4 linked regions of the Arabidopsis thaliana genome follow. The protein of the gene in region 2 interacts with the protein of the main gene of each other region in a pairwise test. Each region holds a gene or a part of one and is shown on either strand. Other genes may lie near its edges. The genes, in order: AT3G55290, AT1G51580, ECT1 and AT3G13224.

The links.
Region 1: the proteins of AT1G51580 (region 2) and AT3G55290 interact in a two-hybrid assay, tested with the Arabidopsis thaliana proteins (one large-scale study listed by BioGRID).
Region 3: the proteins of AT1G51580 (region 2) and ECT1 interact in a two-hybrid assay, tested with the Arabidopsis thaliana proteins (one large-scale study listed by BioGRID).
Region 4: the proteins of AT1G51580 (region 2) and AT3G13224 interact in a two-hybrid assay, tested with the Arabidopsis thaliana proteins (one large-scale study listed by BioGRID).

What each region holds. Positions count from the first base shown.
Region 1 is NC_003074.8:20,500,849-20,504,374, reverse strand, and holds AT3G55290 (NAD(P)-binding Rossmann-fold superfamily protein), read right to left. Parts: upstream 1,868-3,526; 5' UTR 1,723-1,867; coding exon 1,705-1,722; intron 1,470-1,704; coding exon 645-1,469; 3' UTR 507-644; downstream 1-506. Other genes in the region: RPL23AB (ribosomal protein L23AB), read right to left, coding at 2,856-2,940, 3,012-3,375.
Region 2 is NC_003070.9:19,123,552-19,128,683, forward strand, and holds AT1G51580 (RNA-binding KH domain-containing protein), read left to right. Parts: upstream 1-2,031; 5' UTR 2,032-2,060; coding exon 2,061-2,663; intron 2,664-2,744; coding exon 2,745-3,128; intron 3,129-3,204; coding exon 3,205-3,456; intron 3,457-3,544; coding exon 3,545-3,758; intron 3,759-3,849; coding exon 3,850-3,935; intron 3,936-4,019; coding exon 4,020-4,102; intron 4,103-4,227; coding exon 4,228-4,333; intron 4,334-4,413; coding exon 4,414-4,551; 3' UTR 4,552-4,610; downstream 4,611-5,132. Other genes in the region: AT1G51570 (Calcium-dependent lipid-binding (CaLB domain) plant phosphoribosyltransferase family protein), read right to left, coding at 1-1,137; MNS1 (alpha-mannosidase 1), read right to left, coding at 4,764-4,982, 5,087-5,132.
Region 3 is NC_003074.8:1,019,209-1,024,551, reverse strand, and holds ECT1 (evolutionarily conserved C-terminal region 1), read right to left. Parts: upstream 3,407-5,343; 5' UTR 3,051-3,406; coding exon 2,999-3,050; intron 2,642-2,998; coding exon 2,571-2,641; intron 2,400-2,570; coding exon 2,178-2,399; intron 2,030-2,177; coding exon 1,481-2,029; intron 1,397-1,480; coding exon 1,184-1,396; intron 1,063-1,183; coding exon 925-1,062; intron 827-924; coding exon 785-826; 3' UTR 537-784; downstream 1-536. Other genes in the region: AT3G03960 (TCP-1/cpn60 chaperonin family protein), read right to left, coding at 1-120. UniProt on the Arabidopsis thaliana protein: Specifically recognizes and binds N6-methyladenosine (m6A)-containing RNAs, and regulates mRNA stability. M6A is a modification present at internal sites of mRNAs and some non-coding RNAs and plays a role in mRNA stability and processing.
Region 4 is NC_003074.8:4,252,739-4,257,927, forward strand, and holds AT3G13224 (RNA-binding (RRM/RBD/RNP motifs) family protein), read left to right. Parts: upstream 1-1,987; 5' UTR 1,988-2,109; coding exon 2,110-2,165; intron 2,166-2,251; exon of another isoform or gene 2,252-2,277; coding exon of another isoform or gene 2,278-2,306; coding exon 2,307-2,347; intron 2,348-2,482; coding exon 2,483-2,646; intron 2,647-2,747; coding exon 2,748-2,853; intron 2,854-2,947; coding exon 2,948-3,117; coding exon of another isoform or gene 3,118-3,276; exon of another isoform or gene 3,277-3,343; coding exon 3,344-3,883; 3' UTR 3,884-4,669; downstream 4,670-5,189. Other genes in the region: GIP1 (GBF-interacting protein 1), read right to left, coding at 64-317, 399-525, 606-672, 791-834, 1,291-1,468.

The sequences.
Region 1 (3,526 bases), on a different chromosome or scaffold from region 2:
GCATTATTGGGTGATTTTAAGGGCAGATCAAACAATAAGGGAAATAAAAGGCCATGTACAGGAAGTTCAAGTGGAAATGGGAAATTCCAGTCAAGGCCAAGTAACAACACAAGTTGTTTTATCTGTGGAAAGGAAGATCACTGGAAAAGGGAATGCCCTCAAAGAAAGAAACATGCAGAATTGGCTAATATTGCAACTGAGCCTCCGCAACCTTTGGTGTTAACTGTGAGCACTCAAAGCACATGCAAAGAATGGGTTATGGACTCTGGTCGTACATTCCATAGTACATCCGATAGAGCTGTCTTGTTTGACTTCAAGAAATTCAAAGATAGAGCATAACAAAGAGATGATAGTCTCTAGCAAAACTGAAGACTATGGAAGGAGAAAAACCAGAAGTCTGTTTCAATCCCAAAAGTGAAATCACCGAGTGACGCATGATCAAATTAGATGATCCCGATTTTGTTAGCCACAACCAAAGCATCACAATCAGGAGGCTGTTTATTTTTCTGTCCTTTCTTTTTGTGTCTCTGCTGGTTTGTTATTGCAAATTTTTGACGATGTATGTAAATCTTAAAAAGTAGTAGAGAATGAGTAAATGTATTCACTTATTATTGCACAAGATAAGATATTATAAGGTTCGATTTTCAGAGAGATGAAAAGATAGGCACACCGGGCAATGTAGCACCGGAATCAACAATGTATGTATTCCCGGATATATATTGAGAAGAGTCATGAATGAGATAGCGAACCAGAGAAGTAAGCCCTGGATCAACGGTCTGTTGCACCTTTAACGGCACAGTCCTCTCGGTAACATTCTTGAGCCACTCCTTTTGCATAAGACCTTGTGTGATCTCTGACTTGAAAAGCCCCGGTGCGATCGAGTTCACTCTGATCTTATGAACACCTAACTCAAGTGCCATCATCCTTGACATGGTGTCAACACCGCCTTTGGAACAAGCATAAGCAAGTCCACCGGGCAACATACCCCGGATCCCGGCGATCGATGAGATGTTTATCACCGAGCCACCTCGTTTAGCGTCACGCATTAACATACAAACATGTTTGGATACTAACCAAGGACCCTTTAAGTTGGTCTTGAAGACGTTGTCCCATTCGTCCTCTGACAAATCCAAACTCGACTTGACATTGCCTCTGATTCCAGCATTGTTGATCAATGCATCGATCTTTCCAAAGATGTCCCAAGCTTCCCTGACCGCTTTTTGAATGGTGGCTGCGTCTGATGAAACGTCTAACTCAAGAGCTGCGGCTTGGATTCCAGTTGAACTGAAGCTGTTGATTTCAGAGCAGAGAGAGTTGAGTCGATCAACACGACGAGCTGCTGCAATAACCTGGCAACCAGCTTTGGCAAGATCAAGACAGATCTCTCTTCCAATACCAGAGGAAGCTCCTGTCACAAGAACCACTTTGTCTTTAAGTTCACACCATGGCTCCAATAGCTTCAACACCTGCTTTTCTCCCCCAAAAAAAAAACAAAATACAAAAATCAAGTAATTTCAGATTACAAAGACAAAAACACATGATTGACAATTTTTCCATATGGAATCATATGGTAAAGAAGATAACAGAAATCATATTTAAAGGTTAAAAGCATGGTAATTTGGAGAGTGGTCTTATATAAATGGTTATATGAATAGTTTTGAAGATAAAAAGAAAGATGGGAAATGAGAGAAAATGTTATCTCACAGTTTGATGATTGCTCATATTGTTTTCTCTGTGTGGTGTGTTCGATGGCCAATGGGGAAGGAGAAGCCAATAACATATAACATATATAAATACAAGTGTCAAAAAGATATAATCTGATCCATCTGCCAAAGACCGCGGTTCTAGAGATACCAAGTAGAACACGTCCCATAACAAAGGACGGTTTATGCCCAAATCTGTAGGGTCTAGGTCCTAATTAACACTTTAGTCTACTACATGTAAAGCCTACTTCATTACCAGATCGACAATTTAACGTGCCAATGTCTCGAAACTGATTCGTGGGAAACAATTTAGGTTTGATGATTTTATTTATTGTTATCTTTATTAATATATAGATACTCCATCTGTTCTTTTTTATTTGATTTTCTAAGAAAAATATTTGTTTCAAGAAGATTGATTTTTTAGATTTTTTTATACAATATTTATTAGTTATTACTGATAAATTATAAACTTTAATAAAAATAATTGAATATTATTGGTTTAAAATTATAGAAAATTGTAAAACACAAAAAAAATAATACATTTAAAATCAACTTTAATATATTTTTTTAATATATATATCTTTTTTTAGAAAATCAAACAAAAAGGAACAAAAGGAATATATGATTTCTTTTTTTTTTCTTTTTTTTCCAACTATCAATCAATGGTTCAATAATACCGACGTTAGTTCAATGATACCGACGTTTTCTGTCGTTTTCCGGCAACAAGCAACAATAATTCATTTAGTAAAAGTTTTTTACAACCACGAGTTTCTCGCGGATCGATTGTTTTGTTGATTAGATTGGGCTCCACAGACCACAGTGAACTTGTTCTGTACTTTGAAAGCATCTAAACAAAGAGATGGGTCCAATGGACCACTTGAATTTTGGGTTGGGTATTACTTATTAGTTATTTACGAAGGTACGATATAACCAGGTTAAACCGGGATTAGAGAGGTAGCATTAAGAATTGGAACACGATCTGAATAGAAACTATGACGCATCAACAAATACCAAACATATAATCTTTTTGAATCCAAAGATAAAAGCATAACAAAGAGATGGTGATAGTAATATCTTAACTTCTCTAGCAAAACTGAGACTATGGAAGAGAAAAACCAGAAAAAGTAAAATCACAGAGCGACAATGATCAGATTAGATGATCCCGATTTTGTTAGCCACATCCAAAGCATCATAATCAGGAGTCAACCTCACATACGCCTTCTTTGTTCCATCGGGCCTGCATACAAACATACACTCATCACTCCATGTTTACATAAACCCATATCTCAGTGAAGTTTTAGTGTTTACCTAATGAGGGTGTTGACTTTCTTGGTCTGAATGTCATACATCTTCTTGACAGCATCTTTGATCTTTTTCTTGTCAGCACGGATGTCAACAATGAAGACTAAGGTGTTGTTGTCTTCAATCTTTTTCATGGCAGATTCAGTAGTGAGAGGGTACTTGAGGATCTGGTAATGATCCAATTTGTTCCTTGGAGTAGCACTGATCTTTGGGTACTTAGGCTTTCTAGGAACGGTCAATGTCTTTGGCCTGTGGAAAGTAACCTTTGTCCTGATCTTCTTCGCAGGCTTTTTAACGATTTGGCCAGATTTCACTGCTTTCGCAGCTTTCAAAGCCTTAGCCTTAGGGTCGGCTTTCTTGGTGACATCAACTGCAAAAATAATGGAACATTAAACCATTTACACTACTGGTAACAAATCTCATTCAAGGAAAGTTTGATCATTGGCAAATAACAGACAAACAAGCACATAATCAGATGAATCCATAACAGAGTAGGTACGAGCAAGAGAATATAAAAAATA
Region 2 (5,132 bases):
TTTCATGGGCATTAAACCGGTCGCATTTAAGACCCCTAGCTCAAGCACACCGATGTTAGGCTTCCACAGTTGCTTTGCAGTTGGTCTTAGGTCACTACTGTAATGTGTAGACTCATCAAGCACATGATACCCTCCTTCCAAACAAATCCTCATGTGGATCTTGCTGGCGAATTTGATCTCTTTCTTCTCTCCTCCTTCCATTATAACATGCTTCTCAAGGTTAAACCACCTGCTGTTCACCGGTCTATAGTCAAACCTTTTGTCCAAATACTGCAACGGAACCGCGCATCTCCCCAAGACTTCATCTTTATTCGGCGCAACTCTATCTTCCACACTTAGAATCAAAGGCTCTTCAAACGGCTCAGCTACAACAAACATCAAATCCTCATTCCACATCGGATTAATACTCCTGCTTTGTGACACTCTAGTCCTCAATGCCTGATTTCCCATTATCACTTTCACAAAGACTTCAGGATATCTCCCTTTATCGCTCGGTATCAAATCCTGAGCTTCAATGACATTAACCCTAAGATACCAAAGCTTAGGAGAGAGATAAACCTTAGATCTGATGTTAGCTAAAGCATCAGTTCCACTAACAGTTGCAGCATCAGAGTGCCAAGCTTCAGGAAAAGCTTCATCAGCTTGAGTACCAAACCAAACAGCTAACATAAGCTCTCCTTTAACTTTTTGGCCTTTCCCATCTTCTAATCTATACCATTGTGGAGCTAAAGGACTATCAGGAGGAACTCTCTTAGGTATCTCATTCAAATCAAACACAACACGACCAATCAAATCATCTTTAACTAAATCTTTATCCTTGACAGTAGCTTCAAGATAAGAAGCTTGTACCCTATCTTTAGAAAAGGCGAAAACTTGGTTCCACTCAGGATTAGATTTCTTCTCGAAATGTCTAGTGGTTCCTCTGTAGTTACCAAGCTTAACTTCAACGTAAGGGTCACAACTACCAGTTAAGTCTTTACCTGGTAATTCTTTAGCCTTTACGACACGAACATAGAGATACTGCATTTGCTCGACGAGGTCATATGTGGTTGTGAGCTTATCTCCGGTGACTTTGCCTCCACCGAGATGAGGTTTTGTCTCCTTTAAGGAGAAATCTTCAGGAGGTGGTCTCTGCATCTTTGAAACTAGTAAAGTTTGGATTTTTTCTTCTTTCAGAAACACTAGATCTATAAGTTAGATCTTCAAAACAAACAAACAACCCCAGAAAACGATTTACACCAGAAATCTCAGAATCTGCTTAACATTAAACCCCCAAAAAAAGAAAGAAGTAAAGAAGAATCCTTTCTTCTTCTTCCTCGTAAAATCAGAAGATAAGCATTGAGAGAGTTTTAGAAAGAGATAGAGAGAAAGGACTGTAGTGAGAGAAAAGTAAAACACATTGAAGTAGAGTGGTGAAGGTTTTCTTGTCTTCTTCTTCCTTTTGCTTTTTTTTTTTTTGCTCTTTTCGATTTTTGTTTTAAATTCAAAATGATTTTATGAGTTGGCAGAAAGAAAAAAAAAAAGGCCAATAAGTGAAAAACATTTTCTTCATAATCATGAAATTTGATTTGAAAAGGACTACACAATATAAATTTTTATTTCTTTCTCTCCTTTTTTAAGTACGAAAATATGAATAGAACTTTTATTTCAAATAATACTCAAAAGTCTCACATACTATGGCAATTCTCAAAAATACCTAAATTGAGTATTATTGTTCCACAAATACTGTCACTAGTTTTTTTCTCAAAACATACCACAAAACAAAAACTAGATTTTAAACTTTCAAAACTAAATCCTAAACCGTAAAAATAAACTCTAAATCCTAACAACAAATTCTAAACTCAAAAGTTTAAATTATAAACCTTGAAAAATTAATTTTGGTGTTTGTAATAAATTTGGAACAAAATTTTTGTTGTAGTATTTTCGAAAAAATAAACTCATTAAAATATTTTTGGAAAAGAGAAAAAACATAGTTTAGTGGTATTTTATAAAACAGATTTTAAAACATTTAAGAGCCTTTGAGTTAAACTCAAAACGACGTTGTTAAGCTTATTCGACTAATGGAGTTCTCTACCTCAAAACGTCCGGCGACGACAGCGACGGCGGCGGAGTCTGTACATTTCCGTCTTCTCTGTCCGGCAACAAGAACTGGTGCAATAATCGGAAAAGGCGGCTCAGTCATTCGACACCTCCAATCTGTAACCGGTTCAAAAATCCGCGTCATCGATGATATTCCCGTTCCTTCAGAAGAGCGTGTAGTGTTGATAATCGCACCTAGTGGAAAGAAGAAGGACGAATCGAATGTGTGTGATTCCGAAAACCCTGGCTCTGAAGAGCCTAAGCAAGAGAAAGGGAGCGAGTGTGCGGGGACTAGTGGTGGAGATGACGAGGAAGCGCCGTCGTCGGCGCAGATGGCTTTACTTAGGGTTTTCGAAAGAATAGTGTTTGGCGATGACGCTGCTACGGTTGATGGTGATGAATTGGATAAAGGTGAGAGTGAAGGTTTGTGTAGGATGATTGTTAGAGGTAATCAAGTAGATTACTTGATGAGTAAAGGAGGGAAGATGATTCAGAAGATTAGAGAAGATAGTGGAGCTATTGTTAGGATCTCATCTACTGATCAGATTCCTCCTTGTGCTTTCCCTGGAGATGTTGTGATTCAGGTATACACAGCTTCTTGTGTCTTTGTGGCTATTCAATTTATAGAGCTTTTTTGGCTGATTTAGTAATGTTTTTGTATGAAGATGAATGGAAAGTTTTCGAGTGTGAAGAAGGCGCTTTTGTTGGTTACAAACTGTCTTCAAGAAAGTGGTGCACCTCCAACATGGGACGAGTGTCCGTTTCCGCAGCCTGGTTATCCGCCTGAGTATCATTCTATGGAGTATCATCCTCAATGGGATCATCCTCCTCCTAATCCAATGCCTGAAGATGTTGGACCCTTTAATAGACCGGTTGTTGAAGAGGAGGTTGCGTTCAGGTTGTTATGCCCGGCTGATAAAGTTGGAAGCTTGATTGGGAAAGGTGGAGCTGTGGTGCGAGCTCTGCAAAACGAAAGCGGTGCGTCAATCAAGGTTTCGGATCCAACTCATGATTCAGAGGAGCGGATTATTGTGATATCGGCACGAGAGGTATGTTGATTTGCTCCATGGATTTGGTTTATGTATATCATTGGATACTTTGTCTCATTGGTTTACATTGTTGTAGAACTTGGAGAGAAGGCACTCTCTTGCCCAAGATGGTGTGATGCGTGTGCATAATAGAATTGTTGAGATTGGATTTGAACCTAGTGCTGCTGTTGTTGCCCGGCTTCTTGTACATTCTCCATATATCGGACGTCTATTGGGTAAAGGGGGTCATTTGATAAGTGAAATGAGGAGAGCAACTGGTGCTAGCATCCGCGTCTTTGCGAAAGATCAAGCTACAAAGTATGAATCACAACATGATGAGATTGTTCAGGTAAATTTTATATAACATCCGCGGCCTCGATAAGTTTTTCAACTCTGTAGTTTTCTTGTTATTTGACACCTTTTTGCTGGATTGGCAGGTCATTGGTAATTTGAAAACTGTTCAAGATGCTTTGTTCCAAATATTATGTAGGCTTCGGGAAGCAATGTTTCCTGGAAGACTTCCTTTTCAAGGAATGGGTGGTCCACCTCCGCCGTTCATGGGTCCGTATCCAGAACCGCCTCCCCCATTTGGACCGAGACAATATCCAGCTTCTCCAGATCGTTACCATTCTCCAGTAGGACCATTCCATGGTATTTCATCAATTTCCGACCCATGATCACCAGTTGATACATGCATCAATCTCAGTTTCTTAATAATGTCTACTTGTTACATATGATACAGAGAGGCATTGTCATGGTCCTGGATTTGATAGGCCACCTGGTCCTGGATTTGACAGGCCACCTTCCCCAATGTCTTGGACCCCGCAGGTATGTGAACTCAATGATCTTTATTCCTTCGTTAGCTGTCATGTCCTTTTATTTCTTTCTAATTCAACATTTCTCAATCGCCAGCCGGGAATCGATGGCCATCCCGGTGGTATGGTTCCTCCTGATGTGAACCATGGATTTGCTTTGAGAAATGAGCCCATTGGCAGGTATCACTTTCCCGGCGCTGTCTTTGTTCACTTTAAAACTAAATGACTTTGAAATGCCAGAAACTGTACGAAGGAATTTTATCCACTAATTTCACATTATTGCCTTTTGGTTATGGTGTTGGCAGCGAGAATCCAGTAATGACAAGTGCAAATGTGGAGATTGTGATTCCTCAAGCATACTTAGGTCATGTCTATGGTGAGAACTGCAGTAACCTGAATTACATCAAACAGGTATGTTGCCGATAATATATGAGCAGCTGGTCATTTTGAAAGGCTGCATCTGATTACCGTTTGTAAACCTAATCAACTAGGTATCAGGAGCGAATGTGGTTGTGCATGATCCAAAGGCAGGGACTACAGAAGGACTGGTGGTTGTCTCAGGCACATCGGATCAAGCTCACTTTGCTCAAAGCCTTCTTCATGCTTTTATTCTCTGTGGTCAATCTTGATTGCTCTCTTTTCAAAGTGTGTACAATTTTAACATGATAGTAAAAAAAAGCTCTTCTACAAATCCAAAAATCATAGGAAACAGTAAAGTACCTCTACAAATTGCTGTGGCAAAAACGTTGTCCATCTGTTCTTTAAACTGATACAACAATGTGCCTCAAACTTTGTGGTAATATATAATAATATCAAATTCCATTTGAGCAGAAACTGTCTACTAAACGTTAATCTGATGACCAAACTTCCTCTGGCGTAGTGCTATAGTTGGCTTACGCGGATCATTCCGTGCCACAATCTTAAGCGGATGGGCTTCTGTGTTGAAAACCCACTCGTCTAATGAAATAACAGATGAAGGCGAAAAGAGAAGATATAGATACTTAAGAGTCTCAGCTAAGAAGAAGCTTTGCATCTTGTTGTCTTTAGCACCTGTATTGACCTGAAAATGAAGAAGCAAACGTTAACAACGTGTTTCCGAAAGATGGAAAGGCCCACTCGAGGAGGGTATCTGATTGGTTAAGGTCAGCCCGGCTCGAAACTTACATCCTTCAAGCCTACATATCCAGATTCTACGCGAGAGTTCTTCTCA
Region 3 (5,343 bases), on a different chromosome or scaffold from region 2:
GGAGAGCTCCTTGCAAGCTTCAATGTTCTTAATGACGGCTTCGTCGAGACCAGAGAGATGCCTGTAACCTTCTTTAAGCATCGATTGAATACCATATGGCTGCATCGACATACCCACCATTTTCTAAGGTAACGATCTATAAGCTTCGAAGTTGGGTCACTCGAAACAATAGAGCAAAAACCCTAAAAGCGAAGAAGAAGAAGCTCTGTGAGATTTTCGAAGAAGTTTAGAGAGAAGGTTTTCTGTGAGTAAAAGTGGCCGAGATTGCCCTAGAAAACTTTCGAGGTTTTAAAATGGGAGTTCACAACGGTGTCGTTTTAAATTTTAAGGGGATGGGGGCCAAAAATTGAGATCTTAAATCTTTAGGGGTGAAAGTTGTATTATATGAAAGTTTAGGGACGAATAGAGAACACCATTCCTTCTGGTTTTTGTGCTAAACGGTGTCGTTTTAACTTTTATGGTGATGTGGGCCAAAATGTGAGATTTTTGACATTTACGGATGAGAGTCTTATTATATGAAAGTTTAGGGACTAAAAGAGAAATAACTTGAAAATAACATGATATGAACTTTGAAGGAAAGCCTGAGTTTTTGTTTTATCAGATGTGCGTCCCCTTAAGAGGAACAAAAGACAATGTAAGTTTTGTTTAGATAAGCAGAGAAAACACACAGATTAAAGATGTGTATTAGGTTTTTAGAAATCCCAACCCTGAAGAAAAAACATAATTCAAAACTAAGTTCTTTTAATTAAGTCATCTTCTTCTTTCCTTGCATTGATTCCATCTTTCAACTCAAGTTAATTGTTTCCCCCGAAGCTCCATCAAGGGCCTAATATAACAAAACAATCAAAATGAAACAATCCCAGAGACTGTATCAAGAGGGGTGGTTAATGTGCTTTAGATGCAGCAGGGTTTAAGGAATTGTACCTGTTTCTTTTGCTTGATCTTCTTGTCTCTGATGATCTTCTGCCTTGTCTCATAGAACTTGTAATCATCAAGTATACATGTCTTGCTCATATACTCCTTGAAGATCTTTATGATCTTGGTCCCATGCTCCAGATTCACCTGTACCAAAACCATCACCGTACAGTTTAAAAGCCTGACTAACAGCCATAATCATTATTTATTAGAATTCAATTAGGCTTCAAACATGTCCAAGAAAGGGTTTAGGGGAAGTTCAACGGACCTCTTGAGTGTCTCTGCTATTAGTGACAGGCTTGTTCTCGTTATTCGCCAGGGTAATGTGTCTTAAGAGACTGTTTGGTATGTCTTTGATGATATGCCACTTCACAGGGAAACAACCAATCCATTTATCTTGCTGCCAATACTCCATTGTCTTGTTGAAATCAACAGGGCCTACCATCTCCGCAAGACCAACAAATTGCCCACTTGCATTCACCTGTAGATAAAACCGATTACAGTGAGTTACTTAATGTAAATCTGAAAGGATATTGCACAAGACGTGAAGTAACCTCATACTGACCGAGAACAGAAGATACACAGGGCATTCTTGGGAGTTTTCTTTGGCTTCATAATATGCAGCATTCAACTTCTTGTTGCCAGTTGGTGTGCTCGACCATGCACCATACTTAATACAGTTATGAACATCATCTTCGCTGTATGACTTGATCACAAAGAATTTTGCTTTCACAAATGATTCAGGGAAATTCTCCCCATTGTAGCGCTGGAGATCTACTGCTGAAACGTCTTGCTTCATTGCATCTAGCATTGAAGAGTTAAGAACTTGTGGATTCTTGAAATCACTACTCCTTGGTCCTCGACATAGCTCATTAAGCCTATCTGCTTTCTCATCACTGTAACCACGCCCATGATTGAAGCTTCTGGTCTTTCTATAACCATCAACGGGATACCATCCTCGCCCAAGTTTCCAGGAATCATAACCAAAAGTTCCATATGCATGACCAGAGTCAATTACATTCCCGTAAAGTCCATACAATCCATGGTTGGAATACAAATGATCATTATATCCCAATTGGTCAAAACTTGGTACTTCTTGTGAGCTGTGTGGATTCTGTTAAATAAAACAGTTGTAGCCAGTAATTAGACAAAAAAAAAATCCCAAGTCCCAGCAGAGATGACGAAGAGAACAAAACACACATTCTCTTGACTATATGAAGACAGAAAAGAGGCAGAGAGGTCATGTGAAGTAACCAACATACCATGAGATGTGAAAAGGAACTGTGATTGCTGTTGCGGTCATAACCAAACCTCGGATCAGGGTAGCCACCAGAAGGATAGTTTGCTGGGATGTAACCCCACGGGTATGAACCAATCGAGTCTCCACCATTTAGCAGATTGCCAGCATTCATGTTTGGCCTTCTTTCACTTCCATGAGAAGATGCACCATAAGGTGCATGACCATACGGATGCTGAAAAGAACCCTTCTCAGAAAACAGTCAGTTAACAAAAAAAAAACTCACAGTATATCAAATTCACATTAAATGAGCAGCAAGACCTCTCCACAGAACAGTTTGTAGTTAAAGATCCTTCGACACAACACAATTTAAGTTCCAAAAACTTTAAATTTTCAAAAAGAAGTAGTAATTAAGTACCTTAGTAAAGTTCATAGGAACTTCATTTGCATCTGAACCTAAAGACAAGTCCTGAAACAAATCTGCTGTATCTGCAGCGATTATATACAAGAGCCCAGTTAATATTTTAAAATGACAAAGCCTCAAACTCCAATTGCACAGTCTAAACAAGGCAAATTACTGGTGAAATTCAACCCATAAGCAGATAAAAAAACACTAACTTGCAGAAAAACACAAAATTTCATCTAGCATCCCATAAAGAGGTTTGTAGAGAACTCTAGACACCAATCAATCCTATCAGAAACAGAAAACCTACGACAGATACTGATAACACTAGTCGCTAAACCCTAAACCCAAGGGTAGAAATCAATCGCAAGTTATAAGATGAGCACAAAATGATAACTTCCGATGCCAAAAAAGTTTTAATCTTTGAGCTAAAAGCAACGTACCCAGAAGAGGGAAGCTAGTGACGAGACGATCAGAAGAAGCGGCTCCAGCCATATCGAGAGAAGGCAAAAAAAAGGGATAAGCTTTAAGAGAAGGAAAACCCTAGAAGGTTGGGCAGATGAAAGCAAACGCAACCTCGAAAAACCCAGAGAGAGAGAGCGCTTTTGGTGTGTGGGGGGTTTTAGAAAGTTCCGTTCTTTTTTGTTTTCTTCGTCTTCCTTCCCCTTTAACGTAAGGCGGTGATCTTTAACAAAGAACAGAAATGCCCCCAAATGGGTCAAATTTACGAGGAATTCTAAGCGACAAATTTCGATTTTTTTGCTCCTTTAACCCAAAAAGATAAGGCTCCTCTTCTTAATGACGATTTTTCGTCACACGAGAAGATTCTGAAAATTTGACGTTGATTGCTTTTATTAGTGAGACCTCTTTTTCTTCTTAACTTAAAATCAATATAGCGAATCAGTAAAGCTTAACTACACTTTTAGGACTTTTGCTTAAGAGAAATTATCATGAATTCCATTTGTTTAGGAAGTACTAACCATGGTGATGTTTGTTAATTGTAACATACACATACAAAAGGAGTGGTGGTTGGGATATATTAAAACTTTGCTAATCATTCGCGAGAAATTTACAAATATGGTTTTCATATTGACAACATTAAAATATGAAAATCCGTTAATTTTGAATTCAACTCAAGAAAACTTTTACAAATTTTAGGCCAAAAATTATATATAAAATGATCGGTCGCAAACATGGGTTTTCTTGGCTAGGACAAAAAATTGAGTGTGTATGTGATTAGACTCCGTAAGCTAATCAACACACCATATCTATCGGTATCGCATCTAAAATTATTCCTTCATTGCACATATGTAAAAGGGATGATGCTTCATAAACGAGTCTTAGATGGCTTCAAAGATGATTCCAAGGGGATACGAACCTTATGTTAGGCATCGATCCATAATTTTGCTTCTTACCTAAACTTCTATAAAAAAAGAAAGGTAGGCCTTGAACTGGTGATATATTTTAATTTCTGTGGATTTTCTAACATAAGTAGGTGTATGAGAAAAATAAAATCTTAGGTTGATTTGTGGGGTTACTAGTATTGTGGTCTCACATACAACAAAAATAGTAGACAAATTCAAGTCATGTTTAAAATAATAATTAATTCAAATTATTTATGGTGAATTGGAAAACGTTTTTTAAATTTTTATATAAATAAACTCAAAATCTTTAGAGTTTGGTTTCTGCTATGTATAGCTTTTCAAAAGTTATTTAACTTGTGCTCGTGATGGATTCTCAAATATAAATAGCATTAAATTATTTTTGGCAAACATCACATGGAGTTGCACAAAACTGATCAATATGTTTATCCTTTGTCTCACATGTTCTCTCATTCATTAGTTGTATGAGGCGGTAAGGACAACATCATCCTCAAGGCCGGAAAAAACTCAAAAACATTCCCAACAACTTAATTCCACATACAGTATATGCACCATTAAATTGGTGTTAGATGCAACAATTTTATTTTTGCAACCAGATTTTTAACCACTTTAAAAACACTCACTAGAGAAGAAATATATATAAGATATTAAGTAAACACATGATAACTTTGAAGTCTTTCTATGCCATCTCACTCGACTGATATTAGAGTTAAATATATTTATTCTAAGCATGTTTTAAATAATTTGATTGCCTAGAATTTATAGCCAAACAATATGAAATGTACTTGAATCTTACGTTTTTTTTTTAATAATCACTTGACATATTAATTCCAAATCATTGACTTCTAATACAAATATACAAAGCCATTATGCATACAGCGCGATGTGCTTCACCGATCTCCATGAATTAATGGATTTTGTGACATACGATTTGTTGTCAACAAAAAGAAACAAGTTCCTCTTTCTTTTTTTTCATTGTTTCAAAACAAATCGAGTGAAAATTTATGTGATAAATGTGCTTACACGTATGACATAACAAAGCATTTTCTTAATTAAGTTTTCTTCATATAACATTTTAGAATATTTCTATGAACAAATATCTGTACAAAAAAAAAGGCACGCGAGGAACCCAAAGCGGAACAGCGATAGCCAATAAGTAGCATCTGCGATTAGGGATGATGAGCACAGAGAACAAAAAAAAGTTAACGTTGCAAAAATGATTTTTTTTAAAAAGAGAAAAATTAATTAGTGTTAAATTCTCAAAATATTATTATTAGTAATATTTTTTACGTAGAAAAAAATATCGAAAAAAGTGAATCAATCCTTCCCCCAAGAAACAAAAAAAAAAACTTACTTTTTTTTGCCAAAACTCAAAAATCTCTTTACAAAAATTGCAACCTCTTCTT
Region 4 (5,189 bases), on a different chromosome or scaffold from region 2:
CAGAATACAGAATGCACTTAAAGCAACATTAGCAGGCAAGTAATTATATGGTATAATTTATACCTCGCTCGGACTGTTGTGGGATCTGAAAAGTTTCAACTACAGCATATTGAGTATCGTTTTCTACAACAGAATCTGATACAGCCACTGATACACTACTTTCTTTAGACTTATCCGGCTCAACAACATCCTTAGAAGAAGAAGTAGCCTTGGAGAGAGGCTGTTCCTCTGTGTCCACCTTGTCCACAGGGGATATGATAGCATCTTGAATTTTCTGGTTACTGATTCCACTTGGAAGACTTATAGGGTTCGGGGCCCTGAAAAAGAATAGAATGCGTTAGGAAGCCCATATCCAAAGAGGGAATTAAAGACATAGACAGAATTAAAAGTATGGATACATTATGGAAGAAGGTTTTGTGTCGTTTCTTGCATTGTTAGGAGCAGACGAAGCAGTTCCAGAACCTCCTATTATGTGATTAGCTCCACTCTGCTTTTTAAAAGCTGCACTTCTTCCATTACTGGCATCTGAATCAACAAAGAGCTTGAATCAAGGAAGGAAATATAGAACACAAGTTTAGAAGTAAAAGAACATAAACCACAATGACCTGTGTAACTTGAAGCAAAGTTCTTCCGTCCAGTCCGGCCCCTTCCTTGTGTATTTGGCACTAAATTCTACAACAGGTAATACACATAAAGGCATAAGAGAAACGAGATGATGTAAGCTAAACAGAGAACTCAAGACCACACTTAAAATGCAAAGTAAGGATTCAAAAGAACATAGGAAAGCTACCTCTTTCTTTCTCTCCCGTTTGCTTCTCACCTCATGAAATGTATCTGAAAGATCAGTAATAATATATGAGTACATGTCTGCTATCAAAGTACATGATTATGTTGATCTTGAAACAGTAGACAGAATCAAAACTTAACCCAGATGCCCAATCTCAATCAAAGCTAAACAGAAATTCCCTTTCCACATTCCAGCTAGATTGGTAAAGATTTAAAACGACAGTTTCTTAGTCATGAACCCAAATTCTACATATTCCATTTCAGTAAAAAAGATTCCTTATTTGAACATCCCCAGACATATTATACCAATTAGAAATCTAAATAAACAAAACATAAGATTCTAAGCATAACACACAGATTCTAAGACAAGACCAAAATCGACAAAGGGCATTAAATAGCAAAATCCAAAACAAAACCCTAGGAGAAGCACACGCTCAATACAACAAAAAGGAAGTAAAAACACTAAAACAAAAACAAATGCTGAAGCTTTCTCAGTAAAACAACCTAAATAGAGAAGCTTCTGAGTGGTCTCATGTGGATCACTGAAACACTCCTTAAAGACAGAGAAGATATCCTCGTCGGAATGTTGTTTACCGGTAACCTCTCTGATGTTTTGAATGGTTTGAAGCAGATCAGCCGGAATAGAAACCCTAGAGCCGCCATCGCCGCTGATCCTGCTCATGTTGGTTACAGAGAGAAAGAGAAGCGGAGGGAGGAGGAGAGAGGAAATATGGGTTGAACATAAAGACTTCGTATATAGTACTATTATTTATTTCCGTACAATCTACCGCTTAATGTCTCTCTCTACGTATATTTATACGCTGACGTCACTGTTTATCAATTTCCTCCTCATTATTTGATTGAGTACTATTATTTATTTCCGTACAATCTACCGCTTAATGTCTCTCTCTACGTATATTTATACGCTGACGTCACTGTTTATCGATTTCCTCCTCATTATTTGATTGTTTTGTACGCGTTTAATGGAAGGAGAGACAACAAAGTTGATATGGCCGAGTTGGTCTAAGGCGCCAGATTAAGGTTCTGGTCCGAAAGGGCGTGGGTTCAAATCCCACTGTCAACAATTTACTTTTTTTTTTTTTGTCTTTTTACAAGAATAGGAAAAATAGACAGCTGTGTAAAAAAATATTAACTTTGTTTTGTTTCCACAAGTCGATGTCCAAATTTAAGAATATATATATATTACACGATTTAGCTATCTCCTCTAATTAGATGAAGAGACATCAGATCTTATCAAAACCCTAGCTTTCGGTGTCTCTCTCGATCCTTTAGCTCAATCGAAAACTGAATTTAGGAGCTGCGATGGGTTCCAGATCTCGTAATGATAATTTCCAGTCCGGCGATGGCGCTAGTCCTGGGTACGTTTACTTCTCCTACCTCTTGCATGTTTGATTCCACAGGATTAAGGGAAATATCTCATAATCTGTTGGCTTTGTAACTCTTTTTATATTGTTGGTTAAGGTTTAATTTATGTTTTGCTTGGAATTTTTGTGTTGCAGGAAAATATTCATTGGAGGATTGCACAAAGACACGACTAATAGTAAGTTTCTTCCTCTTGTTTTGTTCTAGAAATTGCGTTTCTAAGTTTTGTTATGTTATGGATTCTTGTGTGTGTTTCTGATGTTAGACCTGTTGGAATGTTGATTCTACTTGCTCACTTTGGTTTTGATTGCAGCTGTGTTCAATAAGCACTTTGGCAAGTACGGGGAGATTACAGATTCTGTCATTATGCGAGATCGACATACTGGACAACCTAGGGGTTTCGGTTTCATCACCTTCGCTGACCCTTCTGTTGTTGACAAAGTTATCGAAGATACTCATGTCATCAATGGCAAACAGGTCGGCCACTTCTCTTTTCTTCCTTCACTAGCTTATAGTGTTCATTTTTAGTAGGGTGTTGGGTCTTGATCAATACTTTTTTCCTTGTTTTGATGGAACAGGTTGAGATCAAAAGGACTATTCCGAAAGGTGCTGGTGGCAATCAGTCAAAGGACATCAAAACAAAGAAGATTTTCGTTGGTGGTATACCCTCAACGGTTACAGAAGGTAGACCTCCCTCTTGGCATGATATTTTTTTGCTTTCCATGAGAATGCTGGTTTCCTGTCCTTATTGAAGTTGGTTTCTTTTTCTGTTGATCAGATGAACTTAAGGACTTCTTTGCCAAGTATGGGAACGTGGTGGAGCACCAGGTTATTCGAGACCATGAAACAAACAGGTCCAGAGGTTTTGGTTTTGTAATTTTTGATAGCGAAGAAGTCGTAGATGAATTATTGTCCAAAGGAAACATGATCGATATGGCAGACACTCAGGTAAGCTTGTACAAATGGGGATTAGAATTTTGGTTCATGATGACATATTTATCTTGGTTTCAATTTGATATTTTCTCCTTGTTCCTTTCATTATACACGTTTAACTTAGTTAGAATTCTACCCACTAGCTTACCAAATGTAAGGAGCTTGTCACAGTAAGATAGGAAATCCCTGCTATAGTTTGGGTCCTTAGCATAGCTAGGTTAATTAAGTTGCTTTGTTGTAGGTGGAGATCAAGAAAGCTGAACCAAAGAAATCTCTAAACCGTTCACCTCCTTCTTACGGTAGTCACCCTAGAGGTCGTTCTTCTAACGATAGTTATGCAAGTTATGGTGGACCTTACGGAGGTTTTGATGGAGGGTATGGTCATCCTCCAGGTCCCATTAGGTCACATGGAGGTCCTGCTAGTAGATATGCTGGGGGATATGGGTATGGTCGTGGCAGTGTAGGCCCTGAATTTGGAGGAGGTTATAATAATTATGGGGGTGGTAGTTTAGGAGGTTACCGGAATGAACCACCCCTTGGCTATTCTAGTCGTTTTGGACCCTATGGGAGTGGGTTTGGTGGTGAGGGATATGGCCGTGGAGGAGAAGGAGCCTATTTGGGATATCCTCGTGGAGGAGGGGAAGGCTATGGGGGATATGGTGGGCCTGGTTACGGCGGTGCATATGAATCTGGTGGCCCAGGTGGCAGTTATGAAGGAGCAGGTGGTCCATATGGGAGGGGTTATAGTAGCAGTAGTCGATACCATCCGTATGCAAGGTAGGGTCGAGGTAATAGCAATCAGTTGGAGCTATAGAAGCTTCTCTCACAGGTTCCTCTAGATTGTTCCAATTGCTCTAGGTGCATTCTAGAGTTATCATGTAGCGCCAACATCAGGAAGGGTTGCTAAGGACAGGAAGAGCATCAAAAAGCTTTTATTAGTCATCTTTTAGTTGTGTGTTTACCTAATTTAAGTGTTGTCTTATCTCTATAACTTAGATTGTGTTATGTAGACTTTAGCATATTTGGGCTTGGAGTTTGTTTCTCACTGGCACAAGAATGATTTATCATTTGGTAGTCTTGTTAGATGATCAATTACTCGCTTAGCTTAGTTTTCACAATCATACGAATTAGCTTAAGAAGCTCTGCAAAATGTGCACTCATCTATTCTTTAGAGCTCAAGTTGAATGCTTTATGTGGTCTCTTGTATCTCTGTACATTTTGTTGTGCTGAACAAAGGTTTGACGGCAGTTAGTGCATGTGTAAGTAGGCATATTTTTGTCAGCTGCATACGTAGGTTCTAGCTACAAATTGGAATTGTATGTGTTTGAAAACGTAAAATCAATTATAAATGTTTTTGAAAATCATCTATACAAGCATGGTTATTTGGTTCTTGTTTCCTTATTTTTTCGGGTAAGGGCCACGGATAATTGGTTAGACATTGGTTCTAATAATGTGGGTTTTGTTATCTGTAATTTCTCGTCAAAATGATGTACTGTATCATTAAATGAATATCACTTATTGTACATGCTTTTATAAGTTAATTGAAATCCAAACTCTTTTACGTTTTAAGTGCAAGGATTGAATGATACAAACAGCAAAGAGACAATTCTAAGACAAAGTTTTCAAAAATTTATGACGACGAATGTGTCACACGTACGACACATTAAAAAGAGTTGACAAAAATACATAATACATAAAAGGTCTACCCAATCATAGTTGATAATCTTAATTAGTGATTAAAACGAAGGTGTAAAGTGTAAACATGATTTTAATCTCAATGCTTTAAGGCCGATCTTAGCAGTAGAGTAAAGTGTAAACGAACGTATTGTTTTTACACCTAGAATTTTAAGTTCTGAAATCCATTCTATCTATTTTTGAAATGCAAAAACGATTTTCCAAAATCTCCATATATTTTGTTTGGTCGATTCCAAATCTCTCTATTTAATTGACGATTTTACTGCAAAGAAAACGACAACCTCGGATATTCAGAACCGCAAAGAAAGGACACAAAGGAAAATCACTATTTTTAGATACATAATGTTTACATTAACTTCTCTTTTATAACTCTACAAATCTTTTTTTCTTTC